4 linked regions of the Drosophila melanogaster genome follow. The protein of the gene in region 2 interacts with the protein of the main gene of each other region in a pairwise test. Each region holds a gene or a part of one and is shown on either strand. Other genes may lie near its edges. The genes, in order: Gsc, esn, pcs and MtnB.

What was found.
Region 1: the proteins of esn (region 2) and Gsc interact in a two-hybrid assay, tested with the Drosophila melanogaster proteins (one large-scale study listed by BioGRID).
Region 3: the proteins of esn (region 2) and pcs interact in a two-hybrid assay, tested with the Drosophila melanogaster proteins (one large-scale study listed by BioGRID).
Region 4: the proteins of esn (region 2) and MtnB interact in a two-hybrid assay, tested with the Drosophila melanogaster proteins (one large-scale study listed by BioGRID).

Annotation. Positions count from the first base shown.
Region 1 is NT_033779.5:589,082-597,794, forward strand, and holds the start of Gsc (goosecoid), read right to left. Parts: upstream 5,605-8,713; 5' UTR 5,300-5,604; coding exon of another isoform or gene 5,126-5,299; coding exon 4,507-5,125; intron 3,553-4,506; coding exon 3,191-3,552; intron 1-3,190.
Region 2 is NT_033778.4:7,102,641-7,111,607, reverse strand, and holds the start of esn (espinas), read right to left. Parts: upstream 4,929-8,967; 5' UTR 4,667-4,928; coding exon 3,684-4,666; intron 1-3,683.
Region 3 is NT_033778.4:14,977,818-14,986,665, reverse strand, and holds the start of pcs (parcas), read right to left. Parts: upstream 5,404-8,848; 5' UTR 4,885-5,403; coding exon 4,843-4,884; intron 2,340-4,842; exon of another isoform or gene 2,258-2,339; intron 1-2,257. Other genes in the region: ckn (caskin), read right to left, coding at 6,981-7,829, 7,960-8,436, 8,743-8,848.
Region 4 is NT_033777.3:20,500,864-20,507,706, forward strand, and holds MtnB (metallothionein B), read right to left. Parts: upstream 2,756-6,843; 5' UTR 2,668-2,755; coding exon 2,643-2,667; intron 2,582-2,642; coding exon 2,475-2,581; 3' UTR 2,239-2,474; downstream 1-2,238. Other genes in the region: Dic2 (dicarboxylate carrier 2), read right to left, coding at 22-449; CG46441 (uncharacterized protein), read right to left, coding at 682-720, 776-969, 1,023-1,080; Or92a (odorant receptor 92a), read left to right, coding at 3,932-4,746, 4,846-5,044, 5,111-5,323; MFS9 (major facilitator superfamily transporter 9), read right to left, coding at 6,711-6,843. UniProt on the Drosophila melanogaster protein: This protein binds cations of several transition elements. Thought to be involved in metal ion homeostasis.

The sequences.
Region 1 (8,713 bases), on a different chromosome or scaffold from region 2:
TTGGGGGCAATTTCCTCCCCCAGCGATAATATTTGTCTACGGTTACACGCTTCGACAGCCAAAACTGTAAAGCAAACATGGGAAAAGCGTCTGTTCCCCTTGGAAAAAGCCCGCCCCTCCAATCTTTCCATTTTCCATGGCTCGCGGACATAAACGCACTTTGCTGCCCGAGAATTCTCGGGGGATAACTGAAATTTCGCATCCCGAGACTCAAGTGTTTGAATAATGGAAAATTATGAAAAATTATAACAACAGCATTTACGGCGAGTGTGGGGTGTGAGATTTGTGGGCGGAAAGGTTGTTGAGTGGCTCACCCAGTGGGTGGTGGTGATGGTGGATGGTGGGTGGTGGGTGGTTTGTGACCTCGGGTTAAATTAACGGAAATCTGCTGATTCCAGCTCATTGCCATTTTTAGTTCAATTTCGAGGCTAAACAAGCAAAGGCGAGGGGGGAGAGACGTGTTTATTGTGTCTAAGGAGAGACAACAATAACAATAATAGTTATAATACAGAAGCCATATTTTAGTTAATTGCCAACGCAGGTGGGCCCGAAGTAGAAAAAAACCCGATCCCTTTTGAGGCTGAGGCCTCTCAATTGTGCAACTTCAAAGCGGCAACGCTTGAGATTCCGGATGATCCTCGAAAGAAAGGAGGCAGTAGGGTGACAAGCCCTTTTCAATTTTCAATTCCTGGCCAAAACAAAACGACAGTGAGAGAAAACAGCAGACAGCAGACACAACAGAGATCAGTTCACAATGGAGTGATGGGAGTGATGAGTGGGCACATTCTTCTCGGTTCTCCACTCTCTCTATAAGTCTGAGAAGGGGTAACATCAATATTTGTGGAGTTGAGCGATCGAAAGGAGAGAGGAGCACAAATTATGCCAAGCTGATGATTACTAATTTCTTGGCGACGACCGAAGACAAATATTTGAAATGCCCTCCAGCCCAGCCATTCCTCCTCTACATCCCAAGCTACATATATCCCTCCATATCTGGCTGATCGGAGAACGAAATCACCTCGATCACTTGAGCTGCGGGATTAGGCGTATTTGACTTGCACGCACCACAGAAGCCAAGGCGAAAAAAGAGAGGCAGGCGGACAAAGAGAACGGGCTTGTTTGCTCTACAGGTAGAGCTACTGTTTGGCGTTCCAATCCCATACAAACCAATCCGATCCAATCCGGCTCGATCCCAAGCCGGCCGACCCTCGCCTCGAGTGGCTAAATAAAAATAATAATTGTAAATTATGAAGTCAAAATAAGCAGATCATTTAAATGCCGAACGATCCCAGGATGGGAACTGAATAGTTACGAGACGTTGGTCCGGAGCTCTGGTGTTTGTTTTCTGGTACTTTTGGTATGCACTTAGCTATATCTAGACTATATCCAAGCCTAACTAATAGACGTAACTTAGTTGCCATGTTTGGCTTTTGGTGTGTAAATGGGTAGCCTTTGGTACCCAATTGATCATCGACCGAACGGACTCTTTTCCGTTAGAGCATCGGATGTGTAGGCTTCGAATTTGTTCGCTTTTTTCATTTGTTTTCTCTTTTGTTATTGCTGCTGTTTGTCTTAGGCAAGATTTTCAATAATTATTGCCACTTATGGAGCGGCTGGGGTCTTAGAGAGACGGTCCCGAAATCGGGGGGCTCGGAGGCCTCGAGTGGCAACTCTTGGCATGCAAATATGCTAAACAGTAGCAGTCACAAAAGCCGGGGTTCCGAGTTGGAAGCCAGACCTGAAGTTGATTATGCTGCTTAAGTCAATGACGAGCGATGACTGAGCACAAGATTTGCTTGGGGATTGGGATTGCGATTGCTGCCGTCTCTTTCCTCATCCACTTTGCTTGTCAGAGACAAGTTTGAAGTCTCTTTTTGTGTGTTGTATGTTAATTAGTCGCCCCCGTGAGCCAGCAGATTCGAGTCCGCTGAATTCCAATTAGTTGAAGAGCTGGAAAATCTTCCCCACCTCGGCTTTTCATTTGCTTATCCTATTGTAGAACTCCTCCCGCCTAACAACCTCGCAACTTACAACTTACAACCTGCATTCTAATCCGCTTTGGATTCCAATGCTCGCCGCGGGTTAAATTTGTCGCCTAATCAAAAAGCGGGCGTCAATTCGCCTGCGGGTTGAGTAACGCCACGCCTCTCATTATCCTAAATGGTTAGTAATGTTAATGTGTAAGTTGTCTTAGGCTCACGGCTAAACATAAGCCCAAACCCTTCGAGTGTCAACAAATGTCGCACTTGTCCGCCTTCCTGCGCTGCGAAAGGTGAGGGTGAGATGGGGTTGGATGGGTTAGATTAAACATTTGACCGGTTGACAAACATATTGCCAGGGAAACGAAAACTAAGGGGGCCCGGAACCCGGGGCCCGTAGCCCGGAAAGCGTGGATAATCCTCATCAAAGACGCGAAATAGCCACCCATCAATGCACCAAAAATGTGAACAAATTAAATTGTCAACTTTTGTCGTCACTTTCTTCCTTGGTGACCTCTCAATTTGTTTGTTTGTTGTTGGGTTTCCTCGACACTAATGGACTTTGAATCACAATTGCCGATGTTAAAGGGATGGTTCATCCCCCGGGGTGGGATTTACAAGGGCGCAGAAGGCGGAATCCCTGCATATTTACATTACCAATGATACGATTCAGCAGTGGCAACCACCGACGAGCAAATAACCCTCACCATCCGTTTAAACATGCGGTTGTATCCCGAGTCCCATTACCCAAATTAAGTGAATCATTGGGATTGGCATTGTTTTGCTTTCGCCGGCGAAGAAGCCCCTCAAAATGTACGCCGCTGACAACTAAATAAACAAGTAGAAGTTCTCAGAGGGAGAATCTCGCTGGAGAGAATAGAGATTGCGATGCAGATGCCAGAGATTCGGATTCGGAATCTGATTCTGGTTAAGTGGAGTGTAGAGGAGCGGGGGTGTAGCACTCAATTGGTTTCACGCGGGGAATTAAAACGAGCGTGAAATTAGAGCCAAATGTTAAACACAGAGTGTGGGCGGCTGCTAGGAAGAACACAGTGATCAAAAGCTAAAGCCAGGCATTGATTGTTTTTTTGTGGTGACAAAGCGGCCTTAAAAAAATTACTTTAAATGTCTATAAAGTTATGCTTTAAACTTAGTCTTGCCCCCTTTTTTACACCTTCTTCGGCATTAAAAATTAGAAGCTTTAAACTCACCTCAACTCGTTCTTCTTTGAGATCCACCTTGAGGGCAAGTTGCTCCCGGAGCACCACATCTGGGTAGTGTGTTTTGTCGAAGGTGGCCTCCAGTTGCTCCAACTGCTCCTCCGTGAAGATGGTGCGATGGCGACGCTTCCTCTTCGGCGGAGGTCCATGACCCAGATGGCTGAGGTGGTGCTGTCCGTGGTGGTGTGCGCCCAGATGTGGATGGTGGGGGTGCCCATGGGGGTGGTGCGGATGGTGCCCGTGACCCGACAATCCAGCGGCTGCTCCACTCACATGTGCCTGCATCTGAGCAGCGGCCACATGCGCCACCGCAGCAGCGTGCATGTAGTTTGGATAGAAGTTGGGGTACGCCACTGTAGGGAAAACAAAAGGAAAATTCATTATTCCCTGGTTGGAATAACAGTCATATCATCATCATATAACTGGAGAAAAGAGGGCCACGGGAATGGGTGTAAGTGGAATATTCCTGGGTAAATCCTTAAAAATGCGCATAACGAACCGCGCAAAATAAAACTGCCGCCATTTTGGCTTACAGTAGACACAAAAATGGTATCAGTTCAAGTAAAATGTAAAACTATTTACCCTCTTCAGCATATGTTGTACTTGGAAAACATGTAAATATCGTTACGAAGAATATTACAATGATATATGGATAACATATTGCAAAAACGGATCTATTCCTTTGACCCCATCTGTAAACGTATGTGTGGCTTCCGTTTCCGGTTGCAGCAAGCTGGGGAAAAAAGTTGCGACCAGGTTTTTAATATTCATGTCCTGCGGGGGAGCCTTTGAATGAATTTAAGCGGTATTCTGCATAAATCTGCGCCTGAGATCCACGCTCGAATCAACACAAGGCCTGAGCCCATCTTAAAGCCACCCCAGCATCCCGGATTTCCCTGGTTTTTCCGGCCCAAGCTAAGACTTAGAGCCCAATGCAAATCCTCTCACCGCAAAATCGAAGGAAAATGGAGAGGAAATGCGGAATCATCTTTCACGGATCATTGCCTAATTATGAATAATGCCATTCAGGACTCGCTTCGGAATGGGTGTGGTTCGGTTGAGTGGGAGAGGATGAGGATGTCAGGATAAAAGTGGGTGAGTGGCTGAATGGGTGATTCCTGACTGCATGAGTGAGCTGCCTTAAGGTGATTTCAGAGTTTAGATGCATGAAATAAGGTATTTCAAAATGTTAAAATTTCTTTATCTAAAGAACCATCCTTTGAACTGGTTTCGTCTTAAGTTGTCTTCATAATGAAATTCAGCTGAGGGGGCTTGTGCGTTCAGTATAGGGGGATTGATAGACTTACCCAAAAAATCCGAGGGAGAGGCGGCAAAACCGCTCGCCGCTGCAGCCGCCAAGTGACCCAGATGCAGGCCAGGATGCTGCAGCATGGCAGGAACCCTCTGCGGTCGGATGGGACTGGCGGCTGCGCTAGAACTGGAGTTTGAATTTGGCGAGGCTGGGGACTCGGCGCCACTTCTTTTCAGACCCAAACTGATGCCATTCGAGGTGAGTCCATTTTGGTTGCCATTGCTGCTGATGTGGCTGCCTTGGCTTGGAGCGGTGCCTCCACCCTGTTGGCGAGAGCCCAAAATGCTGTCGATAGTGAAGAGAGACGCGGCGGCGGCTCCTCCTCTTCTCTCCTCTTCCAGAATGGTGACACCTGACTGGCTGCCATCATCGGAGGACGGAGTTTGACTTTGGGACTGCTGGTGTTGGGCGTGCTGCTGCTGGAGGACCGACTGCAATCGCTGGCCCAAGTAGCCGCATTGCTGCGAGTTCAGGAGCATGGCGGTGGTCAGGTGATAGGCGGCCGTGTTGCCAGGAGATCGCGAGATCTGCCTTGGAGGCTGCTGCTGCTCGCCGAGATCGCTGGGCGACCTTTTGAGGGTGTAACCCGCCGGCGGGGAATTTGTCTCTACCATTTGTGCCAGCATAGATCCAGCCGGAGGGGGCGTAGGCGGCGGGGAGGGGCTGGGCGTGCTCACGACGGTGATCTTGAACTTGGCCTTCGAGGGCGGAATGTCGGGCGTGGTGCTGGGAGTGGTGGTGGTGGTGCCTCCACCGCCTCCTCCAGGGGTCCACAGTGAGGAGAGAATCTTGAAGAAGTCTATGAAGCTTTCGAGTAGGAAAAAGTCTCTTCCCCACTGATTTTTTTTTAATGAAGCGGCACTTTTGAAGCACTAAGCGCTTTACAATTTTTTTTAATTCAGTAATGGTGGCAATGTTGCGAATATTAAGTCTAGGTTTTTTTCACTGGATTAGTGTGTTTTGATCGATGCCAAGTTCACTAAACCGCACTAGAAACACGCACTGCAATCGCGTCGTGATTTTATATTTTATTATTTCCACAGGTTTTCTGCCACCGGGAACCCTTCTTGTCCGCTCGAGCTGCGAAAGTGTTGTGAGAGCGTTCCGCCCGACAAGTTGTCGATTGAGTAGTCGTTAGGCCAGTTCCTCGACAGATATAGATACAGACTCTCAGATGCCAGATACAAACTCACATCTGCTCTCTCGTTTAGCGGACATTTTTCGACGTTGGCCAATGAAATCGGGGTGAAGCCACGCCCTCAACGCTACCATATTGCTTGGCAATACTCTCTGGCTTTGGACGCCTCTCCCTCTCTCTGTATCCTCCCTCCCTTTTTTGCTTTCCCTCTGTATCTCTTTCTCTCGCTCTAGCTGGTGGTGGTTGATGGTGTCGGGCCCCCATCTTGCAGTGTTCCAGGTTAAAGGCTGGCAGGAGGTCCAGGATAAAGATGGCGCTACAGAGATAATGCCCCATTCACCAGACCCCTCCTTTTCCACCCAATTCACACCAATGCTTCCATGTATTTTTTTGTATTTTTGCGCTCTCTACTTACTTTCTTTGGCCACTGACAGTTATTTATACAGATAAAGTCATCACTGACAGACCCCGCGGCCCCCACAGAAAGAGATAGCTGTCGAGGGAGCGATAGAGAAGGGAAGCGGGTGCGCAGGATATGGCAACAGAAGCTCTCTCGCTTTCACTCAGAGTGAGTAGCAGGGGTAGCATAAAAATGCTGATGGAAATTATGGGTGGCAAAAAGCCTGACGCTCTCTTCTCGCGTTCAGGGGATTCTGATACTCCACTGCCTCTGCTGGCGCCGTATCTTAAGAAGATAATGACTAAATTAATGCTTTTATGTTTCTGGCAACACATAAACATCATTATGCGCTCAATCCGCCCACGGAGAAGCGCTGCTCTTGCTCTTTCTCCCTTTCTGAGCTTTATCTTTATCATCATTCTTGCAGACGTTGGGAGCTTGAAAAGGGTTAAGGGGTGAACGTTTTATGTAGAAAGAAGCACGCTACTACTCGTACATAAAGATGAAGCTTACACTGGAGGGAGACTGGGAGCGCTCATTCAATAATCTACGGCACTTTGGTGACCCTCGTCGCTATTGTTTCACCTCGTGTGTGTGCATAGGAAAATATTTTAATCTAAAGTTTCCACATCAAACATGCCCAAGTGCAAAATCCCCAATGGCCGCCAGGGTTCGTTCCCTAGATATGCCCCCCCTCCTCGTCCACTCGAATGCAGGAAAACAAAAGCTAAGCTACGACTAATGATAAATGCAACTCTGCAAACCACACCCACAATCACAAATGGAAATCCAGCCAGGAAAAGCAAATGAACCGAAAAGTCCTTACAATGTCACCTATGTGGGGGTGAAAAATGGGGATCACTTGGAGAAATAATTCCCAAGTAAGGTCCATCTTTACATACTAACTAAACTTAATTCTGCTAGGAGAATCATGGAAGACGAGGCGTTCCTGATAAATTATCAATCAACACTGACTACTAAATTGGGTGGTTTCGAAATATCTTTAAATAATAAGAAAGTATTTAAAGGGCACCCAAATCGCTCTGTGTACTAAGATGGACAAAGAGGAGGGGTCCAGGGAGGGAGGCTTACATAAATGCAGATGTTTTAGTGTGTGTTGGGGGTATATGTGTTCAACTGATTACGGGGGCGCACGGAAGAAGAGGGGCGGTCCTGTCACATGCCGTAAAAGGATGAAAGGATGACGGCTGATGACGTCGCATGTGGCCAAATGCTTTTAGAAATTATTGAATAATTAAGCAGGCCAAGGACCGCAGGACCAGGATATTTCTGGTCCTCTTTCCCCTCCGATTCTTAGTGGATCCTGCCGCCCAGTTTTCTCTGGGCTTCGCTATTTGCCTTTACACTGAACTTCTTACATGGCCAACAACTCCCGACGGGAAAACCGATGATGACGATGTTGTAAATGTAAAGGAAATATTGAGTTGAGAATGGAAAAAGAGGAGGAAGCTCTGGGAGTGCGCTTCTCGCTAAGCTCAAAAGATGTGACGCACTTTTTTCTATTATTTTCCTCACAGAATTTGTTCAACTTGTTTTTTCACATGAAACTTTTTGTTGCCTTTTCTACCTACTCTGACCTCTGACCTGAATTCTTTCCCCACTTGCTGTGCACTTTTTGTTTTAGTTCGCAGATTGAATTTTAAATAAAAAATTAAATTAACTTGTCTAAGTATTGTATTTGGCTGAGTACCACTACCCCTTCGATTGGCTGTGCGAAAAAGTTCAATTGGCAAAGGACTAAGCAAACATTGTGGAATAAAAGGTTTTTCTACTTTTCCATTTGAGCGCCGGAGAAAAAGCGGGAAAAACAATGTGGAAAAAACCATCATCATCTTCAACTTTTTCTTGGCTCCCTCCCGATGATGATGATTTTTATTTCGATTTTCTGTTGCCATTTCTCTTTGAACGCCCACGGCCACATTTTCCAGTTGTGCAAAATTAGAAAAGTTTTCCCTGCTCTCTCTCTTTCTCTCTCTCCCTTTCTCCATGATTGTTTCCCAGAAGCGGTAAAACCGGGAGAGATGGAAAATAGACGGGGGAGGGGCGTGTGCTTTGCGTATTTGTCTTGTTAAAAATTTAAGCGAATTTCCTCGAGAAGCCAAATCGAAATCAGCAGCAGAATCCGCACCAGAATCGGAATCAGATTCTTCGGATTCAGCAGCCAAATCCCGTGCTGAGGATTTGCGATTGAGGCTGAGTCGCCTGCTGCCGACATTGATATGGTAATGAAGCTTCGACATCGGAATCGGGCTCTAATCCCCGCCAGCAGCAGCAACCCCTGGATATGTCTCTATATGGTCACACCGGTTTTGCTCAGCAGTCAATTAAACGTTTAATCCAAATATCGTTTTATACGTCGCGCAGTTGATCCGGTCGAAGGTTTTTCAGCGGATCCCAGAGGTACACAAAGAGAAATAGTTTATGGGTAATCAAACCTCGAATATTCCAAATGTCCTGCCCTACCTACGGATCCCATTCGATTCCGTGGCTCACGACTTATGGGCGTTTTCACAACGAAGTTTTAATGTTCCTAATTTTATTTACAAATTTCTCATCAGCTCTCAGTTCTAACCCTTTTGGACATTTAGACTCTCAGTGTAGGAAATAGAAGCAATTTATGGCAATGGCAGTCGCATCAAGGGA
Region 2 (8,967 bases):
ATTCCAGTTTACCAAGCACGTAGCGTCCTAAGCACCCTTCCCTAATCTTATGACGGGCACCTCAGATCAGATCAGATTCTTTATAATGGTATGCAGTTTTAATAGTCCGGCTTTTGAATGTACTTACTAAGCTCTAAATTATTCATTTTTCCTGGTGTAGAGTTAGCCGTAGGTGGATGTACCAACTAGGCTGACAACACGTGTTTTTTTAAGCTAAATTGCTATCTGGAATCGGAGGAGTCGAAATGCATCCATCTGCGAGCTGGCTTTCTCCGCAAAGTGCCGCGCAGATGGGGGGCGAAATTAATTTGCGGAAATCTCGACGCTCGAGTGGCTAAAATATTTCAAGCAAATCACGATTATCAACTTGAATTCCAGCTTCAGATCTGTGCGGGCGATCGCCGATCGGCCAGACACTTTCACAAGCTTTTCGACCAAGTGACATTTGTGCCAGTTTGTTACTTGGCTCGATTTGCATTTGGTTCTCATTAGGCCACCGCCGTCTGATTGATGGCAATTTCTAAAGTTTGTATTTTTAGAGCTCCCATGGAAATCAATGCGGTGTGTGGGCGACTGGAGATCTCGGCAATGCCATTTGGTAATTGTCCAGGTCCAGACCCAAGTTGCCACAATTTGGTAACGATTTGTAAAGGGGCATGACGGCACAAAACGGGCTTCAGGTTCGCTTCCCACCTGTATTTGGCCAACAAAGCGATGGCCATTAAATTAATTACACGGCCTGTGCTCTCCGCCGATTTCAATTAAACGTAAATTACGAAAATTAAACGCAACAATGCGCCAAACTGGTTATCGAAGTGCCCGACTCCCGATCGTGGCTAGAACACTTTACTTGGCTTACACACGCTCCCAATCAGCAACCTCTGACTTATTGCCACTAAATTGACTCCATCCTGATACGGAGCTCCTCGGAATTGTACATATGTAGCATATGTACCGCACAGGGCATCCAAGGAGAAAAGATAATCATAATCGGGCGGCAGAACAGGAAATATAATGAGCTTGCAAAGAAACGCCCTTCAATTTAGCCAGCTCCTCCCTCCCTTTCCCCTTTCCCCTTTGGCCCACGGCTTGTTTGGCTAATTTTATTTTGCGGTTTTCGATTTTATTTCATAAACACATTTCTGCTTTGCAAAATACTTAACCCTCCATCCCTCCCCTCCTTTGACCCGCCACTTCGAGATTATAAATTGAGTTTCCCCCAACTCGAGGCGAAATCAATCAACTCTTCTGTCTTCTTCTCCATTCACTTGTAAATCTTGTGTTTTGTTAATGCGTTTTATGGATTCTCGATTAGGTGTTGAATCAATAAAACGCGAGTTCTGACTTCCCAGCCACTTTAAGACAAAGATGGCTTATAAAACATTTGGCCCTGGGATTGTGTCACACTATAATGTGTGTGTCACTATAATAGGGGGTTGAATCTTCTGGAGAACAAGTTGTGGTTTTGATTGGCTTCGTTCGCTGACAGCCAGAGAAATTGCCCGAACGCCCAGCGAAAAAATAATTTGAAAATATGTAGAAAGAAGAAGAAAGGCCAAAGAAAATCAGATCCACTTCACTGAAGCGCTGAGCACCGAAGGGGCGTTACTTGATGTGTCCGCGAATCAGTTAAAGTCAGATTAAGCTCCCGCCCCTCACGACCATGCCTCTTCCCTACACGATTGTCGGCCTTTTGCCATTTCAATTAAAATGCCATATATCACGGCCAAAAGGCTTTCGCTCCAACTCCATTCCATTCCACTCGAATCCACTCGCAACTACTGCGCACATCGAATGCAATTAAAATCAAATGCGTAGCTCATTTTTAAATCACAGCAAATCGTAAACCGATAAGTCCGGAGTGAACCACTCGGGTGGTCCATGGACGCGGACTAGCCCCTCGCTTCTGGCCAACTTCAATTAGCCAGGCTGGCAAAAGAGGGCCGCCGGCGGTCCCAACTTATTTACTTTATTGTTGAGATTCCTATGCAAAGTGTTCGGCCGGCCAGGCGCTTAATTACGCTTTAAGTAGCCGCCAGTCAATATTGGGTTTGGTTTATTTAAACTGCGAATGTAATAGCCCCGCTGATTGCGAATGGCTCGAGAGGATGTGCATATGGATGTGGAACTGGAGGTGGAACTGGAGGTGGATGTGCGTCTCAAATTACAAAGTTCTGTTTAAGGGAAATTGATGGCGCACTCCTTCCACCAATATTTTATGGCTTCACCCAAAACAAAATCTAATTAACAGTTTGCGTAGATTTATGAACAGAAGTCCATGCAAATGAAGTCTGCATGCGGAATGCAGAGAATACAAAAGATGGAAGAGATGGCAGAAATGGCAAAGATGCCGAGGACCTGAAAGATCTGAAAGATCTGAAAGATACAGAATACCTTTTCGATGAAGGGCACTCAGTCAGGCGGCAAAAAGAACTCAATTTATGAAGTCGTCGGATGGAATTTATGAGGCTGCAGGATGCAAACACAAGGTGACGGGCGATCGGAGGAGAAGGACCTCGTGAGGATGGGCTCAGTGGACCCGAAGTTCTGCCAGCCTCGTTTAACCGCTGCTGTTGCCACTTAGCTGCATGCAATTCATTTTGCAGTTAACAAAACTCGACAGCGAGGCGAAGGAAGGAGCACGTGCTGGCCAGAAAGTTGATAAATAACTTTCCGGTGCCAGTTTTGCAAATAGTCGGGCATTAATAACACCTTCTTAGCGAGCCCACAAAGTCGCCTCCAGCTGACAGAGCCTCTTATGGCGGATTATTTGTGCCATTATTCGAGGGTGACCTGTAGGATTTGTACTCTCAGCGCAATTGAAACTGATACGCGTAGCCAACAACGGCTGTTGATCAGGTGAAAATGATAAACTCCGCTCTATTTATGAGCCGCCAAAGAGGTATGCCTTATCGTTCTGGATTCCTTAAGAAGTTCTGAAGAAATTAATTTATCCTAAACAATATGAAATCTAATAAGGGAAAGAAATGGCGATGGTGACAAAAATGACAACAGAAAAAAAGATCACGGGATTAATTCCATATTAACATTGCAAACTTCAAATGGGCTATAAACCCAAGGGCCAAAAACAACAATCGTGTCCATTGGTTTATTACCTTTTAAACAATTGCAATTGTAGTCGGTAAATTCGGTAAATTGTTTGGCCTTCGTACTTCTCTTTCAATAGTTGTAAAAACAACATTGGTAGAAAGTTGCAGACCCACATTTTCAACGGCAGCTAAAAGGTATTAAATTACCAAACACGAAAGCGGCCATTTTCAATATAACGAGTATTAACTCAACGTAAGTCGGAAATCTATAAAGCTGTCAGTGTGCCAGCCCATTTTAATGCGATCTGCCTTGCCTATAACTTCGAATAGCCAGTTTAATTTGAAGAACCATAAAGTATGATTCCAGTGGTTAGGAATAGAATCCTCCAGAACCCAACTGCTCCTCAACTCGGAGCACGGAGCACGGCTCATATGAAGCTATTAAGCAGCCATCAAATTGGGCCGTAAACTCTCTACTGCGACGCCCGTTTTATAGTCACTTAAATTGGGAAATGCAAAGCTCATCAAATGGATTTCAAATTAGTTGGCCACATTCCCGCCGACAACTCCGCTTTCCCTCGCCCACTTATCGCCGAGAGTTATGGCCATTAGAGATAGCCGGTGGAAACTCACATTTTGGGTGCTGTGGCTGCCGGCGGTGGCGGCCTCTTTGAGTGGCCATCAAATCTGGCCAATTGTTCTTCAATATCGCTGAGCTGGATATCGTCGGCAATGGCCTGGTTGAAGTAGCAGTTGGCCTTCCTCCTGCTCTTGTCCACCTCGAGGAGCTGCTCCGTATCCTTGGGATTTAGCCAAACGGCGTTCCTGTTGCGGCAGCGGTTCAGGTTCCTCAGATCGTCATATCGGAGGATCTGCTGCCCCTGGATCCTTGCTATCTGGGAGGGCGTTAAGCTGCCGGTCAGCATGGCCACCTCCACGTCATCGTCGGTCTCCCCGTTGCAGGAGATTCCCGAGGAGTGGAACTGATCCTCGCTGCTCAGCTTCCTCTGCACGCAGCCGGAGGATTGGGCCACGGCCATGGCCAAAGTGGGTGCAGGGGATTCGTTGGGCAGCTCCAGCGCTATTTCGTAGGGTGCTAGGGTGATCGTGGTGGCCTTTGGCTTGGTCTTGGTTCGCACTGCCGACTTGATGATGCACTTCGCAGGGGCGTTGCCCCGATGTTTGGAGCACGTGGACTTGCTACTCTGCTTCCTGGGCGTCAGTTTGGTCACCGTCGATAGCCGGGACTGCTGTCCAGCTCCTATCTGCGGCATTTTCGGCGGCTGAACCTGCTCCTCCAGCCGCTCCCGGCTGGCCAGGCGCTCCCTTTCCGCGGACACAGCCCGTCGGCGACTCCGCCGTATGCTGGGCATGTTCCGGGGGAACAGCTTGCCCGCCTCCGCCTGGGAGCTCTTGGAGAGACTGTCGCAGCTCCGGTGGCGGGTGGGACTGCCGCTGCTGGCGGTGGTGGTGGAGCTGTCGCTAATCGTGGTGGCCGTGTTGGCCAGCACTGAGGAGCACTCGCTCAGGTTGACGATGTCCCGGTAGTTCCTCGACTGATCCTGCTTGCCCACCTGCGGCAGCCGGATCTTCCACCAGCGCTTCTTCGAGAGCATCGCGGTGAGTGGAACGCACGTCAATCACGGGTCGCGGGCCAATCAATCAATTGACACATTAACGAACGGGGAACACCTTAAGCAGTTGGCAGGTATGCGGCGGCCTGCAATTACCGTCGCCAGCAATTAACGGGCGATCCGCTTGCTCCAATTACGTGCACTCGCGATCGGATTGATACGTATCGGCTGGGATTCTATCTGAATTCCTGGTTCGCGAAAGAACAGCACTCGCACCGCTCGCTTTGGGGCTGCTCAAACAACTGAAGATTGTAGAAAGTAGCTGTTGGCCGAAAGGCGGCTTTTGGCCAGGTTGGTGCAGGTCAAACTCACCACCAAGACGATCCAGCCAACTCACCACAGCTCTCTTTCTCTCATCTATATATCTCTCGCTCGCTCTTGTGGCCCAAGCAAGTGCAGGTAAAACAGGTGGCACAGGTGAGTCGAGTGGCTTTCGGTTGAGTGCTTCGGATTCGAGCCAGAATGTGGTGGCGTTTATTAGCCAGCTATTGAAGAGGCAGATTCTGGTAGCTGCAACTGGTTGATGCAGCTGTCTTCGGGCCATTTGACACATTTCAGGCCGTTTAGCGATTGACCCATTTCAATCACGGCCAACAAGGGAAGACCACGGCCAGCGTCCCTTGGGCGTTGTGTTACCACATTAGCAGCGCACTCATAGGTGGTCATTAGACTGCGGGCTTGGTGAAAATGTGGTAATCGGGTAAGGCCCCTCTCATGAAATCCATCCGTTTGCCCCGGAATGGAAATGAAGACGGGCGGATGGAACGTGGACGAGGGAACAAACCAATCATTGGAAATTAGGGTTTGTGGCTTCCCTATGCTGCACGGGACTCTCTTCTTGTGGCAGCACACGGACGGTAATGGAGTCGACACCGATTTCACATATTATTCAATTAACACGCAGCTACTGATTCATTGCAATTGAGGCTGAGCTAGAATTTACTAGCCAGTGCAATTATGTCCTGTTGATATTTGGGATAAGTATTCTTCAAAATGGTTTTTAGTTTAAAGTTATGTGGTGATTTTGATAATCGACTTAATAGATCAAAGACCAGTTTCACTTCCGAGGCATTCCACTAACTATCTCGGATATAAAAATGCTATGAAAATTATTTGCACAATATAAAATGTGTCTTTCGTTGAATTATTTTGAGTCGCTATATAAAGTGTCTCTCTCGATGAATTAATTAGAGCCGCTAACTTCTCACACTTTGCAATTATACTTTCTTCTCTGGCTACTAACAACCAGAAATAATTTAAAATTAGTGACCTTTACTACAAGCTAAAGGATTCAATTGAATTTTTAACTTACCTTCAAAACTCTCCCAAACGAATTGCCATTGCGAAGTTTGCGTTTTAACAAATTGTTTCACCAACTGCAATGAAAGACGAAAGTAAATAAATTAATTTCCCCATTTAACGTTAAATATTTGCACTCTCTTTCGACACTCAAAGAGTGATGGGCGAAATGGCCCAACTAATTGAGGACCAGGCCAGAAGAGAACAGCCAACATGAAGCGGCTGAAGGCAAACGAAATAAGCAAGTGACTGCCAAAAGTATTTTAATTGCCCGGAGTTTTCCGAAAAGAGGGGCGTCAAAACTTTATTTGACAGTTGGAACAACTGAACAATTCATGAAACAATTTTGATTAAAACCGAGACACACGGTCTCCAACTGGAGAAATGTCAGCGAAAGCAGTTGTCAGATGCCAGCAGCAGGTGAAAATTGGTGCACTGAGAACATTAGATGCTCAAGGTGATTGTATTATCATTATCGTTAGTAATCAATCATTGGTTGTATGGTCGATAGACAATGCCTTTAAGCTCCATTCAACTATAAAACTAACTTCTGAATTAGATTCACTACATTTCCCGACCACATCTTAAAGAAGGATGTTCTGCTTGATTTAAATGACAATATGAATACTCCTGACTGAATACTGTAAAGAAGTGAAAAGTGGGGATAATTTTTCCAAGTGTAGCCCTTTTCCCACTTTGGCCATGGCCAACAGGTTAAAGTCAACGTCATTGCAGCAGGAGCGCAAAAAACAACAAGCCCGAAAGTGACGCTAGTAAAACAACGACGATAATATCCTGCAGAGGTCGTAAAAGTTGAGATTTGAACGTGCAACGTACACGTGTAAGTCAAAAGTTGCCCCGGGCGGTGGGCGGTGGGCGATGGTCGGAGGAGGGGCGTGGCTGTTTGGCGCAGCTGCCGCCACTACGCGACACAAGATGGCGCTGCGTGGCACTAAAAAGTATTAAAACAATTTACACTTTGTAAAAAAGGCAGCAACGGGGCAATAACACCGACTGTTGTGCGGCTTGTCGCACGTGTCGCGTGGGGTGGGGGGTGTGTAGCTGTGGAGGGGTGGCTGTGTAGTGTTTTATTAATATTTTTTTCACTTGCCCCAAACAACATGGTGCCTGTCATAATCATAACTGTATCTCAGCGGCAAAGACAACGGGAAAATGGTAACAAAAATATAAGGAAATAAAATAAAATCAGGGTTGCCGTTGACAATCGCGTTATCATAATTCTCTTCTACTAAATTCAAATAGCATTTTCGCCTATTTGCATAAACAATGTGAAAGTCGTAAAGTGAAAAATTGCAAAATATATATAAAACACACAAGCGAGTGGGCAAAGGCAGTGGCAAAGAGAAAGGCAGGGCGAAAGCACTTCAAAAGGGGCGGATGGGCATAGATGGGCATAGAACGCGCAAAAAGTAAAGCTGCAATTGCTCGCTGAACAGTGAAGGCACAGTGGGGCAAATCGGTGAACCAAGGTGGTACTTAAGCCCCACAATGTTAAAAATTATATGTATATTCCAAACAAAAGTCTACTATGTATTTATTTATATAGATATGTGCTTGTGATATTTACGCTGGCATAGAATATACTTCGTTTCTAGCATATATTTCATATTTCACAATTATGTTCTTGAGGTTGGAGTTTTCTTCAAAATTCAATATATATTGTTGTAAGAATAACTAAATATTTAGTAAATTCATTTAAATATGAACTGTTCTAATAAGACAATCTTCGAATGGTTTAGTAAGCTTTCATCAATATTCCTATGGTTTTTATGACTTAAAATTAATTAAAATTTCGCATCTACGAATTGCGCATTGAACAGAATAACTTTACACTAACACTACATTCAATCAAATAACTTAAAGTTACCGTTAATTTTGTTAGCATTTTTGTACTATTCAAGGTGGAACCACAGTGTGCATCCTCTTGCGATTCTCTGGTTGCTTCCGCCATGGCATAAAAACCACCAACAGGGAGTCTTTTCAATGAAAAGCGAGGTGCGTAGCCCCAATCCGCTTGCCAATCTCGGCGGCTGTGCCTCCTCCTGCTCCTCCTGCCCCTCGTCTGACTTCCTCTTAAGACAATAAGCACTGGGCCAGGATGTTTGATGGGGAGTTGGGCTGGAAAGGCAGGCAGGAATCAGCGGGAGTCGCCACAATTCACACACTCGTGTGGCAGGAGTGTGTAGGCGGCAAATGTTTCCCTAATGATGACGTCGCTTATGAATTGTTGTCGCTGGCGGGGAAATGTGGCAAAAGATCTCAAGTGCTGCCTCCGTCGTATTTATGAAAAATATTGTTGCTCAGGGGTGGCGAAAACAACGGGTAGCTGGGAGGAGCAATGATTACGTTGATTTGCCAAATGGCGCTGATGACAGTCGGCGACTGAAGAGGCTCCGCAGAGCCAGCGACTACGTGAGTCTACTGATTTTTAATTAAAAACGCAAAAACACAAAAACCAAGCCGGTCGGAGGAAAACCACCCGAACCTCTGGGGGAGAGTGGAAAAAAACGAAGAAAGCGGGGCTCGGAAACAACAAGGAAAAACTCAAAGTGCGCGTCACAAGGTTTCCTTTTGTTAATCGACTTGATTGTAAATATTTTCTTGCATAAGCTCTGTTCCCTTACTCCTTCCAATCCTGTTCTGTCACTCCCCTATATTTGACTAAACAGAAGAAAATTTTATCAAAATATTCACTCAATTTAAAATTAAATGAAATCGTACAAACCCATAAATATATTTTAATAACTGCAAAGTATATATAACATCAGAGATTATTTAAAAGATTATCTTAAATATCACTAGACTGCTACTAGGCTTAATACTTTAGCTAAACCTAACTGAATTTTCCTCAATTGAAATGAATCCCCTTTAAGTTAAGGTTTTGTTTAAACTTTATAAAGTGATGTAACATTTTTTTCGGCCAGTGCTGGTTTGTTTTTTGAACGCCCTGCGACTGTTGCTGC
Region 3 (8,848 bases), 7.9 Mb from region 2:
AGTTCCGACAGATGGTGCATAAACATGCCTGCCCAGAGTGTAAGTATATTTTTTATCGACTCCAGCTCCTCCGTAGGGCACGTATCTTCTCCAATGGGTAAATATCATAAAAACCATTTATTGCAATGCGATTCAATTGTAAATACTGGCAAAAAAGGCTAACATATTTAATCGCCAAGGCAGCTGTGTGTGGCTGGCTGGTAGCAAAAATATTTGATTATCATCAAACAAACAAAAAGTATTGTGCATAAATTAAATGTTAAAATGACAACGCAAATTGAATAAATATTTTCACAACTTCGCCTTCAAGCACTCAAAATGCAATTGGGGTGCAAAAATTCGAATAATCGAATCGAAATATTCTCGATAAAATTGAACATCTTTCACTTTTCGGGAATCAAGCAAATATACATAACTTTATGAGCGAGTGGAACTTTCCTCCAGTTATTGATTTTATGCGTTCAATTTAAAGCTTACAACAGGGTCAAAACCAAATGGAACGAGGCCTGGCCCAAAAACTTAACCAAATCACGCGATGTGCGCTCATTTTGCATTCGTCAGAATCGCGCTGTTAAAGGGCGTCTAGAGTTCAACCTGAGTCACAGACTATGAATAAAGCCAATCAAATGCGAAAGGTTATAGCCAGGAGCGTCGCTTCTCTAGGCAACTGCTAACAAGAAGATGACGTGAGTGCGGCTCGTTAGGATCCAAAACAATTCGTCAGACATGAGGGCGCCGCCCACTCTTTGGAAATTCGAGGATGGCGATTGTTTGGCTAGTAACAGGCGTAAGTCTTCAGCAAACAGCGCTCATAAATAGACATAACTAAATTAGATTAGGAAATATATAGATATTTGCGTTGATAGATAAATAAATATTGTTAAATTACTTAGGAAAATGAAAAGCAGCCAAGCTCATTATTAGATATCCCAGGATAAGCTTATTCGCTTGTCCCAGCCACTTTCCACAATATACTCCCTACTTTGGACACCCATTTGGCCACGACACTCCCTCCTGTTCCGCTCGCAGTTCCGCCAGTTCCGCAATGACGCCAGCTGCCCTTTGTGCCGGTGGCGTGATGCCGAATAGGTCGACCTGACCTACATCTGCTGGTGACAGCTTTGTCCCCAGCTCCTGCCAGAACCACCCCACTTTCCTGGCCAGACTTGGGCATAATCGCAATGGAGGAGCTGTAATGCAAACCCACATCGACTTGACTTGCGCAACAACAAAAAAAAAAAAAGAAGGAAGCCTCAGGAACTCGTAGGACATTCAACTCAAGCGGAAATAGACGTCATCGGCCGAAAATAATGCGACAATTGTATGTAAAAAACCGCAAGCCAAGGGGAAAACTAACCAAAGTGGAACTGCTGAGAAAGTCTTGGCTGGTAGGTCAAAAAGATGGTTATATAAAAGAAAACTCAACGGCGATGCGTGAGTGAATGTCTGACGACCCGAAAATTAAGTCAACGTAGCTTGACAATTGCAATTGACCGCATAAAGTTTTTGCTTTTTTAATTAGAGTTATGTCAACTTCGTATAAAACGATAAACTTCTGTGTTGAATATGATGTTTTTTTTTTTTTTGTGTGGAACTCTCGTGTGCCTGACCCACTTTGAACAAATTATTTTCAATTGCTATGCTAACTCAAATTCTCGACTTTCTCTTTATGACCAAGCAATTCAGATCAAAGGTCAACCAAACTCATTTTGAGTCTATAGAAATCTAATAGTTGTTAATGCAAGTACAAGTTCATGACTGATAAGATTGCCTCTGAAAATCGTATCTCTGCTGATTTGATAAAGCAGGAAATGACTGCCTAAGTTCAACTACATAAACAAGCGCAATCATTGAATGTCATTAACAATTCCGACGACCAAAACAAAGCCGATCCAAACTGAATTCATTAAGGCTGAAAATGCATGGAAAATTGAGTGCGGTAACCGCTCTTCGAAAGTAGCAACTGTGTTGTGCGCCATCGACTATAATGATAATGATGATGATGATAATTGGTGATGATACTGATGGTTAAGGAAACCCGGGGGATTGCACTCGACCAAAAGGTTACAAAACCTCCAGTTAATTGAGAAAATAAACCTTCTGAAAGAGACAGTTTGTTTATGAAAGTGCAATCCCAGCTGCTTTTTAAGTATTTATTATTGTTTCCTACAATTGTTTTTGTTATTTTTGCTATAAAAATGGTAAATATAAATATAGCACTTGCGATCAGAAGCGCTTATGACCAGCGATGATTATGGGTAGCGTGGCCGAGCGGTCTAAGGCGCTGGTTTAAGGCACCAGTCTCCTCGGAGGCGTGGGTTCGAATCCCACCGCTGCCACTTGAGATTTTTTTTTTTTTGATCAGAGAAAGTTGTAATTGTTTTGGAAGCGCAAACAAAATAAAAAGTAAACTCAATAATAAATAAATGAGAGCAAACTTATTCATCAAATATGAAGAGTGCTATGTAGTATTAAATGCAGTTTTTATCGGGACTGGTTATGAACTTTGTATTGTATGCACATAAATAATCTTGCGATATAAGCACAAGTTCGTATTCGCAATAAAAGATAAGCATAAAGAATATCATATACACTTTTGGGAGACACCTTTACGGTATATTTTTACATATATAGAGTAGACGTTGACTCACTTTTCGGACACGATTTTCTGATTCATAGACGCCTGGATCGAGTTCTCTAATTCGCGATACCCGTACTCTCACCTTGCTTACGTAACTGAGACCAGAGATAGCCGACTTCATTAGTCATTTATAATTTTTTATCAAATTCACCTGCACATAAAGTTTCCCTTGCTAATCTAATTATCAAATGGGGCAAGGCTACTAATTTATTTTTAAATTGCTACAAAGCTTTTCTCACTAATTTCTATCGTAAAAAAAGGCCCCTTTGTTTTTTTAATAAAGCAATTATCATCTAATCGATAAGTGACGCTTTGATGTGGATTGGTATGAGATTAGAAAGTTTGGGGCTCGAAAAACAAATCCGTAGCACGCAAATGACCATATTTTTAAGTTAACTGACGCGTGTGGAATTGTTTACAAAAAACATCTGTTAGGACACACGTTTTTGGTTAAATAGACTTTGCGACATCGACGCGGTGCCTATTCTTTGTCTATTGTTTGGCGTCATCAACTTGAAAACATCTCTTTAGATAAGAAATTTTGCACGCGCAAAATAAAAAAAAAAGAAGAACGCCAAATGCTCATTGATAAATCATTGGCAAATCGAAGGCAAAAAAACAACAAAGTCGACTTGTCGAAAGAGGAAGTCGAGCATAAAAACATTGAGAAAGAAGGCAAAAATAGGCGGAGCAAAATATTTCGCGTTTTTTTGTATAATGTAGCATGCGGTTTTTCGTAGAATTCTTAACCGGTTTCGGTACAGTTTTGTATTTGGTTTATAGAGCCGCACTAAAGATTGTTTATAGACAAAGTGAATATCTCCTACACATTTTCCCATACCTATACATATGTACTTTCGGACATTATCGACGAATCCAATCTAGTCACATGCCGTCTGTCTTCTGGGTTCGAAATCAAATTGTTGTTAATGACTTTGCGCCGCGTGTGGCGTCTCTCCCACTAAGTTTTGCATTTAAAAATAGGAATTATTGTAGGTCTACACCGGGATTTTCCTTTGTCTATGTAGGGGGTATTCTCACAATGGACGTACCATTCGATTGATCGCCCTGGATAAAGGTGTTTTTAACTTGAATAACCATTTTATACTTATATACTCATATACATAAATATATTCTCCTATTGATCACGGTTTGGAAACATTGTGTTTTTCACTATACTCATCCGATTTGAGTTTTTATTTTTACAGACTCGTATTATTTCCTGCCCATTTAAGGCTATTAGGCGAGTGTGCGACTATTTTGCGCAGTTGAATGAGCAGCATATGAATCTTGATTTATGCAAAAACTGCGACTTGCGCTTCAAGACACTTTTCAATTGTCTGGCTTACACAATAATATATAAAATACTCGAAATAGAAACAAAGGCGTGTTTGTTTTTTGTTGTTGCTGCTTTGGCTTGCGTGTGCGCTTTGGTATTTCCATTTATTAAATTTGTATGCATACCTCCTCCTCTCTCCCAAAAATGCGAAGAGATGAGCAAAGAAGAAGGGGCGAAAGATAAAGAGCAATAACCAAGTTGCACTTGAATCTCATTTAGGTACCGAGTTCAAATCCGTTGCGGGTAAAAAGAAAAAAAAAACCAGTTTACTTGGAAGTGCGTGGGATTATTTGACACCCTTTGTGATCCCTTTTTTCCTGCACTTTGTATTGTTTTCGGTTTTACAATGCATATTGAATAGTTCGTCGGAAAAGGAAACTTGCAATTTGCTTAAATGGCTCGTAAATTGATTTTCTGTGTTGGTTTTTGCTGTTGTATCGTTTTTGAAAACCAACAAAGCGTAAAAAAGGTTCACGCAATAAATGAGTAACGAAATGCAATGCAAAAACGCCTGTTTCCTATTTCCAAAATACAGTGCTCTATGTTTTTTGCTTGTAAGTTGTAAACATATTTTTGTATGAAAATCTAGGTGCACATTTATCACTTTGGTACAGTGGATACCCTCGGTCTTCACAATTCACCGAATCGGGTATGCACTGTACCAACAAAAACTGCACTGCAAAGAAGAGCAGGTGATAGAGAGAACTAGCAAGCAAACCAAAAACAAAGCAGCCTGAATATTGTTATTGTCATTAAAATACCGTTCCATTCAGTGCCAGGTACGAAAGAGAGAGGCATACAATGAGAGAGAGAGGGGGAGAAAATAGGAAGGACAGCAGGCAAATTGCCGAAGGAAAATCACCTGAATTTGGGGATCCAGCTCGCCGTCTTCTGCACTCGACATTTTTACTGGTTTTCACTGAATTCGTTCCAAATGCAAATATATCGCTAAACGCGTTAATTTTCACTTTTCTGCAGCCCGCTTTTCAATTGAAAAACGCTTTTGCATTTCACTATTTGATCTCGTTGCTACACAGACACATCCCACGACTATCAATTTGCTTGTGTGTTTTGTTTTTCTTTTTTTTTTCTGTGTTTTTTTCTATAATATTATGTAAATTGGTGTTGGCAATTTTAACTGGCAATTTGCTATGCGGGTACAGCAGCAGTATTAAAACAAATATTTCATTTTGCGTCTTATGTTTCACAACGAAGTTAAAAGCGAAAAGGGAAAGGGACACATGGCGATTACATTAAGTGTGAACAAGACGAACGGTACAAGTGGACAGGGCACGCGGCTTTTCACCTTCTCCTTCGCTCGGGGCATCTAAGATATTTAATTAACTCGCTTATAAAGGCTAAACTATCCTAAAAATTAAAGACGCGTCCAGACGCGACGAAATGAGAAGCTGAATTCGGTGTGACCGCAGCGCGGTGTTACCAGATAGTGAAATGCTGACCAGCAGTTGCTGAAATAAACATTTGGTATTTTTATTGTATTGGTATATTTCATTACAACGCTGGCATTGTTGCCAACTATTTTCAAGAAAAATAAACAATTAAAAAAATGTTTGATTTTCATTGCACCAGTTTGATAATGTAACAATTTATATTTAAAAAAATGCTAAGTTAACATATTAGTCTTCAAAATTACTCTTGGCGGGCTTGGTATTTTCTCTTACCATTACGTCATATGCCTCATCTACATAACCATCACATCACGTTACGTAGTTGATTCACTTCGTAACGTTATGAATAATTAAAAAAATTTTGTTTCAAAAAGGATTTTTGTTAAAGTTGCTAAATACGTATTAATGAAATATAAATAAATAGGTCTGACTAAGTAACAAAATATGCATTAAAACCAGAAACATTTTACTATGAAAGTTTACTTTATTTGTTATTTGTTTTCATCATTTTTGTTTTGCCCTTTATGTGCTTTACATGTTTGTGATTTTTTCGTATTTAATTTGTTTACTTTTCCTTATATGCGTTTATAAATCGAATACTCCAATTTCCTCTAATGATATGCGCACCAAACATATTTTTAACTGAGCGCAATTAACAGAAAACCGAAAATACTCTCAAAAAACAAAATTTTCACTAAAAGATTTTTATTTATGTAAATTATAAAGAAGAAGGCAATTCAGTTGTATACCACGGAATTTCATACGTTATTCAGCATCAATGCCCGATTAAACATAATTTATAAAGATGGATTCGTTTCCTTCTTTTATTTTTGATTTCTTAATTTAACGCTAATATAAGATTTATATTTTATATAATGCATCTTTTTACTTTGTATGGAATAACACTTAATTATACATTCATTTCATATAGTTTGATTTTAGTTGTAATCATAACAAAAAGAAACATTTCTGTGCAGCGTGATTTGAAAAAAATGAACAAAGAACTAAGGTACAAAATTCTAGAATAATACAATTTGAAATTGTCTGAATGGGATCTTTAAATAGTAGTTCTTGCCTGACTTTCATTGTGTTTGTTTAAGAGTGTGCCGTGTGGTTTATTTGTTGATTCCTCCTCTGTCGTATAGTATCAAACCACTAAATACTTGTCCATATAAATGATTTCGTTTAAATATTTATTTATATATCGAATTATATATATTTTATGCTATATAATAACTATGCAAGTTCTGCATATATGCATGTTGCGCTTCATTTACCATTCTTTTACTTGGTTATTTTCATTTTGTATTGTTAACACTCATAGTTTCGGGAATGGGAGGAGAGTTTAGGAAAAGTACAAAAGTATACATGGTTTGTCCAAAGCTTTTCAGTTGTAGTTGCTTTTTACTACACAGTGTGCATATCGAAATGATACAGAATACGATCCAATATAAATGCTTCTCCACACGCAATTGGAATAAGAAATACAAAAACAAATTGAACTTAACTAAGTTGAAGTACATAAAACATTACAAGATACACCACAACTTCTAAATTCAGCTACACTACGATTTGTTGTTTGATTGGAGATTTATTCACTGTCTATGTTTAGGCCCACTCGCTTCTCCTCCTCCAGCATGGCGTCCAGCTCGTCCGTGAGATTGGCCAGCATATTGCCAATGTCGTTCAGAACGTTCACCGAAACTTTGGGCGGAACGCCGTTGTTTATGGCCACAGTTGGTACGGCTGCTTCTGGCGAACTTGCAGGCTCCGCCGTTGATCCACCGGCATTTGACATATCCAATGTGGGTGAACGCAGGTGCAAGGCACTTCCACCGCTGGCTGTGCTGCCCATGCTTTCACTCCGCGCCAATGTGGCATCGTGCAGCGAACTGGAAGATTTCAACGAATGGAACGAGTGCGCTATATTCGCGATGGTGTTCGTGGAGGAGGAGCTGGAGCTCGAGCTGGAGGAGTGCAGGTGTGCGGGATGGCCGCCGCCGGGTACATTGTTGTTGCCCGCTCCGCCGCCCTGCAGCTCCTGGCGGTTGAGCAGCCGCTGTTTTATCGTCCCAGTGTTCTCGTTGGCAAATGGTATCGTGTCAATCGAATCGATGCTGGAAGTCGACTTACTGTCGTGATACTTCTCACAGTGTATCTCCGCCGTTGTCTGTTGTATGGTGGCATAGTTGGCGTAGATCGGCTGCTGACCAGTACCTGCACCCGCCTGCTGCTGCTGCTGCTGCCAGTGCTGCGCCGTGTGGCCGTAGAACATGTGCTGGCCCTGCTGCTGTTGGGCTGCCTGCTGATGCGCCTGCGCAGCCGCTCCCGACGGCACTCCCTCTCCGCTCAGCGTGCGGGAGTTGCGTATGCTGCAGTGGCGTCTAGGTGGCTCAGGAGCTATTTTCTTGCCCGTCAAAGGACTGCCGCCCATGTAATTCTGTAATAGAAGATAGCTCTTAGTAAGAACAGTTTAAAATCCACAGTTGCCACTTTGGTGTCCCTTCTATTATAACCAACTATGGCAACCACAGATAAGTGTTCTAAGGATTCGTGGAACCCCAACTTACCGCTCCACCCTCCACACCGCTGGCCGCACCGTACTCCGCCGCAGCCGCTGCATTCATGTAGTGATGGTGCTCCAGTGGCGGCATGGTGTTCAACACCGCCCGCTGCAGGATGCCACGCTGCTGGCGTGGCAGAGTTCCGCCGCCCTCCTGCTCGTAGAGCAGCTCCCTCGTGGCATCGTTGGTGGGTGTGATGTCGCCGTCGTCGTAGGATCGCCGCCATCCAATGCCAGGCGCATTGTTGCCCAGGAGACGGGCGGCAGCTGCCTGCTGCTGTTGCTGGTGGAGCAGCTGCTGGTGATGATGCTGCTGCTGCAGTGTGGCCGCTGCGGCCATTGCCGCTGCAGCCGCCGCTGTTGTCGGCGGCCCAAAGTGGCCGTAGTCCGTGGTTGTGTAATGGCTGAAGGTCAGATGGCTGCGCGTGCTGTTGTCGTGGATGTCCTCCAAAGATTCCAGGCTCTTGCCGCGCGGCTGGCGAACCTGCAGAAAAGGATAAGAGGCTCGTTAGGAGGTGCAACTTTTTGAAATTAATGAGGCCAGTTTTCTTCTAAGTTAATTGGAAATCAACGAGAAAAAAATTCTCAACAACAGAAATAATAATATGAAAATAAAAATATTTTTTGCAAAGCAATATTAATGAAGGGTATTAAACTTAATTTGATATTTGTTAAGTAACGATGTTCGCGATGCAAAAGCTAGTTCGTGGCTAAAATGTCAGAGGGCACTTAAAAAGTTCAAGGCCAACGGGCTGCTACGCTTTTTAACTGTGGAAAACCAAGTGCCCACCTTAATGAGCACCACATCGTTGCCCGAGCAGCACTCATGGTTACTGCCCGTGCAGTAGTAGGCATCTCCGTTGGCAAGGCTGCTATTGAGGCAGCTGCTCCCGGAT
Region 4 (6,843 bases), on a different chromosome or scaffold from region 2:
ATAAATATTTTTAAATCTTACTTGCGCCTCTTCTCTGGTGGCAACTTGACATCGTTCTGCAGGCGGACGTTGATCAGATCTGCAGGAGCGCCCACAAACCCGCCAATTCCACCGGCAATCGCGGCTAGACATGTTTTGCCGGCCATGGTGCTGGTGTCCATAGCTCCAGAGCCCACCGAATAAATGCCAAAACGGGCCAATGTGTACGTGTATTGGCGCAGCATTGAGGCCGAGATGCCATTGTACATGGCCAGAGGTCCCTGTTCCTTGACAATCTTGCGGGTGGTCTGGAATACCGATAGCTTCTCCGCCTGAGTTTGGATAAGCACCTTGATCAAGTCAATCGGATGAGTCACCATGGCAGCCATGGAGCTCGCCAGACCTCCAAAGTACCAGCGGGCAATACGCCGCTGGTTGTAGGACATCAATCCACCCCTTCTGAGCGACATTTTGTGTTTTCTATTTGCTAACTTCTTACCCTTAATTTATTACTACGGATCTACTTGTGTGTTGTTTGTTAAATGTGAGTATAATGTATATGTAAATGAAAGTGCGGGGTTGATCTAACGACTGACGAGTTTAAAGGCAAGGAAAGCATGATTGGTGACTTTAAATATTAAGACACAAAAATTTAGAATTTACTTTCAAATCATAGTGCATCATGGTAACCAAATGAATTATTTAAATGTAGTAGAAATTTGGTCGTCCCTTCGATAGATCCTACATTATCATAATTAGCATCATAATTGCATTATTTACGTTTTATTTCACTCACTCCTAATCTGTACAACATCGGAATTCCTATAAGGCCTCCACCAACAATGCAATAATCCATCAAGCGTTTTTTGACCACTTCGTCTACAGAATTCAGATACAGATATAATGGAAAAGCCAGAGCAATCAAGCATGCATTTAGTAGTATCACCATAATTATTATCCAAGCAGCTCCTTTAGGCTTATCCTTATTACCTGAAATCATTATACTAAAACAAAACGTATTATTTGTGGGTCTGCCACCTCACCTGTCTCAACTAAGCTGATCGATTCGTCTTGCCCATTTTCCAAGATTCCGAGCTCCATTTTAAAACTCCTTGTCCCGTTCGTAATTGTATTTTCTATATATGAAACTTAATGAAGTTCAACTTTGACACCAAATGCAAGGGTAATAACTTGTTATTATTAATAATAATACAAACCGCTTTTCATCATAGCAGTTGTCATGGAAATCATACACAAATACTTTTTATATTCATATTCATTTATATATAAATATATTTTATTATTATTGTGAAAACTTTCATTGCTAATTTTAAAAATGGTAATTAACATACTCTTTGTTGGAATTTTTGTGTGGAGTATAGGTCCTAGGTAGTCATTACAAGAGCGTTTCCCTGTCACATTATTTACACCTGATTTGCCAAAAGACTGCTACTTTACATCCGGGCAGGGAGCAAAGCAAAATGGAAGAAAACAAAACGACCTGAGCACGCAACAAAGGTCTTTGGGAAACGCCTCAATCACGCACCTCTGATTATGCTAATGGATCTGAACCACTGTTGTTTCATAAATATTTTGACAGCTCAAGCACCGGAAACGGACGCTTGAAATTGTCCACAAGTGCCTGTATTTTAATTGGTCATTTGGTTTTGACAGTTGGAAACTCAGGCCTAGCCACTCGAATGGAAAGCTCGACCGCTCTTTAAACAAAAGTGTGTGAAATGGGTAGCAGTAGCAGGCTATTAAATAAATAAAACTTGGCCAGAAAGTTATTATTTGGCCGATACAAAACGTATCTATTCCATTGGCAGACTATTAAACCCAACATAACGCTGGAGGAATTTGCTGCTAGTAGAGCAGAATATATATGTATTTTTTGAAAATGCAATAAAATCGGCACAACATTTTTGAGAAATTGCCTCAAAAGCGAAATACATTTTATATTCAAAACAAAGTGGGTTGCAATTTCGGCCATTGGCATATGGGCAAAGTTCAGTCGCAGATAAAAGCGGCTAAATAATTTGGTTTCAGTTCGATGGCCACGAAAATTGAATGTTATTTCGATTTATGTTCCGTTTTGCGCACAATTCAATGGACTTTCGGTGAGTTTTCTACCAAAATCACGGCTGATGGATTGGATTTTAATTCCGGTGCAGCTGTCCGCGAACATACAAATATTTGCAAATCCCGCCCAAATTGTCGCATTGCGTTTGCTTATTTTTCATGTAATTCTATTTTGCGGTTTGCTTAACTGAATGCCAGCTCACGTTTATTATTTTACCATAATTGGTTTTAGCTGCCAAAAGCCGAAAATATAATTATCGCTTGGTAAGATGACCGACCGCCCAGTAACAAAAAGTTAACGGCAGAAACTTTTAAATGCTCAAAATCTTTATAAACTTTATTTATTGCGGCCAACTCGTTGGGAGTTAAGCTCCAGTTTAGAAGTTAAACAGTTAGTTATATAGTTGGCCCGCTTATTTGTTGCTGCAGCACTGGTCCTTGGGCCCATTCTTGCAAACGCACTGGCAATCCTTGTTGCAGGCGCAGTTGTCCCCGCACTTTTGGGCCGAGCACTGGCAGTCTGTCGAGGAATCGAGAACGATTGTCAATTATACAGCTTGCTGCTGCGTTGTACCACTTACTTGTTCCACAACCCTTGCAAACCATCTTGTATGTATCTATTTCTCGACTTTCACTTGGCTGAGGCGAACTGATATTCACTTGTTTGCTTGTTGCTTGGCTATTCAACTGATGACCCAGTCCGGCAACTCCCCCACTTTTATACCCACTTCGATTGCCTCGAACTCGAACGAGTGCAAAATTGCACAAATCCAAAACAAATTTGTTTGTTTGACCCAACTTATCACGTCGTGTGCAAGTCTGGGGCGAGTGGTTCGCAATTTATCAGACGATAGGCCAGGCAATTCTTTTTGCGCACGCGATTGCTCGCCAACTCGGTGCACACGAACTCCTCATCAGCTTATCAGCTGCCCACGTTGCGTATACGTTGCGTATACGCCGCGTATCGTGACTCAGCCCACAGCCCAGAAGCACACAATAAAAAGCATGAAAAGCGCAGGCAGCTACCCAGCGGGGTTTTTCACAATAAATAAAAGACTTTCCTGTAGTAAAACAAATTTAAATGCTCATATTGGCTGCAAAAACGCTTTACGACTAAACTCTTTTCAAAAAAAACCCAGCGTAAATGCCATAAAAATATCACATGTGGAAAGCTAACTAAAAATTAATAGAGGAAAAAACGCGCTGCAAATTAGGCAAAAACTATAAGCTCTGCGGGAGCTACGAAAACAGTTCGTTGCACGGAAAACCAAACACCCGGAACAACTTTATATATATTTATGACTTTTAGTAAAAAAAAAGTTTTCGAGAACAAATATAGAAATAGGCCTGACTTAGTTGTTTTTTTTTTTGCTAGGTGTACCTGCAACAAAAGAACGACTTAGATAAGTTTCCTGCAGTCTCTAACTCGGCTAGTTTTTTTACCTTTACTTTTTTACCATTTTATTTACCTTACCTTAAAAAAAAAATATCTTTAACGAGTATAATGAATATATAATTGATTCTTGTGCTTGTGTTGACCACAAGGTTTATATTTAACATCACATAAACATATATAACTTGACCAGCCAGCACCGTTCAGTTAGAGTATGACTTCAGTTCCTTACCACAAATTGCATGAATATCCTCTCGTCCCCAAAGTGTCCTTCGATTTTTCTCCGTGTAGTCCTGGGAACATTCCTGTAGAACTCAATATTTTAGAAAGTCAAGTGGCAGGTGTTCCGTTACCCCAAATTAAATTAAGTAATTATGAGGTCAGCGAAGGGTGTCTCATGCGAATTTAATGGGACACTTTTGATGGGAGCTATATAAACCTAAGACTTATTCTGTCAGCCGATCAAACAGCTGAATCATGCTGTTCCGCAAACGTAAGCCAAAAAGTGACGATGAAGTCATCACCTTCGACGAACTTACCCGGTTTCCGATGACTTTCTACAAGACCATCGGCGAGGATCTGTACTCCGATAGGGATCCGAATGTGATAAGGCGTTACCTGCTACGTTTTTATCTGGTACTCGGTTTTCTCAACTTCAATGCCTATGTGGTGGGCGAAATCGCGTACTTTATAGTCCATATAATGTCGACGACTACTCTTTTGGAGGCCACTGCAGTGGCACCGTGCATTGGCTTCAGCTTCATGGCCGACTTTAAGCAGTTCGGTCTCACAGTGAATAGAAAGCGATTGGTCAGATTGCTGGATGATCTCAAGGAGATATTTCCTTTAGATTTAGAAGCGCAGCGGAAGTATAACGTATCGTTTTACCGGAAACACATGAACAGGGTCATGACCCTATTCACCATCCTCTGCATGACCTACACCTCGTCATTTAGCTTTTATCCAGCCATCAAGTCGACCATAAAGTATTACCTTATGGGATCGGAAATCTTTGAGCGCAACTACGGATTTCACATTTTGTTTCCCTACGACGCAGAAACGGATCTGACGGTCTACTGGTTTTCCTACTGGGGATTGGCTCATTGTGCCTATGTGGCCGGAGTTTCCTACGTCTGCGTGGATCTCCTGCTGATCGCGACCATAACCCAGCTGACCATGCACTTCAACTTTATAGCGAATGATTTGGAGGCCTACGAAGGAGGTGATCATACGGATGAAGAAAATATCAAATACCTGCACAACTTGGTCGTCTATCATGCCAGGGCGCTGGAGTAAGTTTGACGGTTATATATTATATATATCTCTCAATTCATCCAAATTAAGGATAAGAACTAAACTACTACATGTTTTTCTTATAATACACTTTTCAGCCTCAGCGAGGAGGTCAACAACATATTCAGCTTCCTGATCCTGTGGAACTTTATTGCCGCATCGCTCGTGATTTGCTTCGCTGGCTTTCAGATTACAGCCTCAAATGTGGAGGACATAGTGTTGTACTTCATATTTTTTTCAGCTTCGCTGGTTCAAGTCTTTGTGGTCTGTTACTACGGCGATGAAATGATATCTTCAGTGAGTTTAATTTTTATTAATTTTTCTTGTTTTCGGTCTAGTATTAACAAGAAATGTACATTTCAGAGCTCTCGGATTGGCCATTCGGCATTTAATCAGAACTGGTTGCCATGCAGCACCAAATACAAACGCATCCTGCAATTTATTATCGCGCGCAGCCAGAAGCCCGCCTCTATAAGACCGCCTACCTTTCCACCCATATCTTTTAATACCTTTATGAAGGTAATCAGCATGTCGTATCAGTTTTTTGCACTGCTCCGCACCACATATTATGGTTAAGGGAAGATTAGATACATATATATGTATGTGCATAGGTACATCGGAATATTGATAGCAATCCATCGAATACGAAAAATACATATTTGCAAAATAAGATACTGAATTCGTTTGCAAAATACAAATACATAAGTACACATAATGTTATATAACAAGATAACAACTTGTGATCTTTAAGAAAAAACAGTATTCTATCCTAAAAAAAACCACAACAAATCAAGTTATTTAATGTGAAAAATATATAAAAATTCATAAAATTAATAAAACAAATCTTAAATTGTCATAAAAAAGATCTGTTCTGTTAACACTTTACAGATGTTATAGAGGGTAAAAGTTATTAATTAATACATGCTTTAAGGCTGTGACATAAAGTCCCCATGAAAAGAACATTAACGTTCCCGCGACAGAATACTTTGCATACTTTGCGGATCAGTCATAAAAAACGACTTGTAATACTTGTAATATATGGAATTTAAAGGTCAATCCGCAAAAGACCATCAATCCCTGCTTCACCTTGAAGACCTTAAGTCCCGTCACCGCACCCATAGAGCTGGAAGGTGTAATCCTAGATCAACCTTCACAGGCTAAGTACCTCGGGATTACCCTTGATAAACGGTTGACTTTCGGCCCGCACCTGAAAGCTACGACTCGGAGATGTTATCAAAGGATGCAACAACTTCGATGGCTGTTAAACAGAAAAAGCACCATGACACTGAGAGCCAAAAGAGCAGTCTACGTCCACTGCGTAGCCCCGATCTGGCTGTACGGAATACAGATCTGGGGTATCGCAGCAAAATCCAACTACAACCGCATTCAGGTATTGCAAAATCGTGCCATGCGTGCAATTACAGACTGCCCATACTATGTACGTGGCACTACCCTTCACCGTGATCTGAATCTTCATACAGTGGAAGAGCAGATCTCCAGGCACACCAGCAGATATAGTGATAGACTAAGACGACACCACAGTATACTTGCTAGACGCTTACTCCCTGCTAGGCCTCTAAAGAGATTAAAAAGGAAGGGTTTCGCCAAAACACTTGGACAACCCTAAAGACCCCCTCGAAATATGAGACAAAGTTGTAAGTCCTCACAAAGTGAGAGGTTTGGTTTTATCTTTTATATGTTAATTGCGCTGTTATGTTACTGTTATTGCATTGTATTGATTCATCGCTTCTAAATAAATAAATATATAAAAAAAAATACTTGTAATAAAATGCCTTGTTTATTCGCAAAAACACTCACAGTGAGTGTCGTGAAAGACTAAATGGATTAACATACATAAATATAGACACAATGGTGCGCATATCGCTAGCATCACAAAAACGTAACAACGACAAATACTAGGGCACAAAATTCATGATGTGATGAAGCCGCCAAACTAAATGGCTTAGTCCTTCAATTCGGCGCCACTGTTAACAAAACCGGCAGTTTGGGTCAACTGCAGTTGGGCCTTCTCCTCCGCCTCCTGGGCCTTCTGCTCGGGCGTCTTGGCCCATTCCTGCAAATCGCCGGAGCAGTAG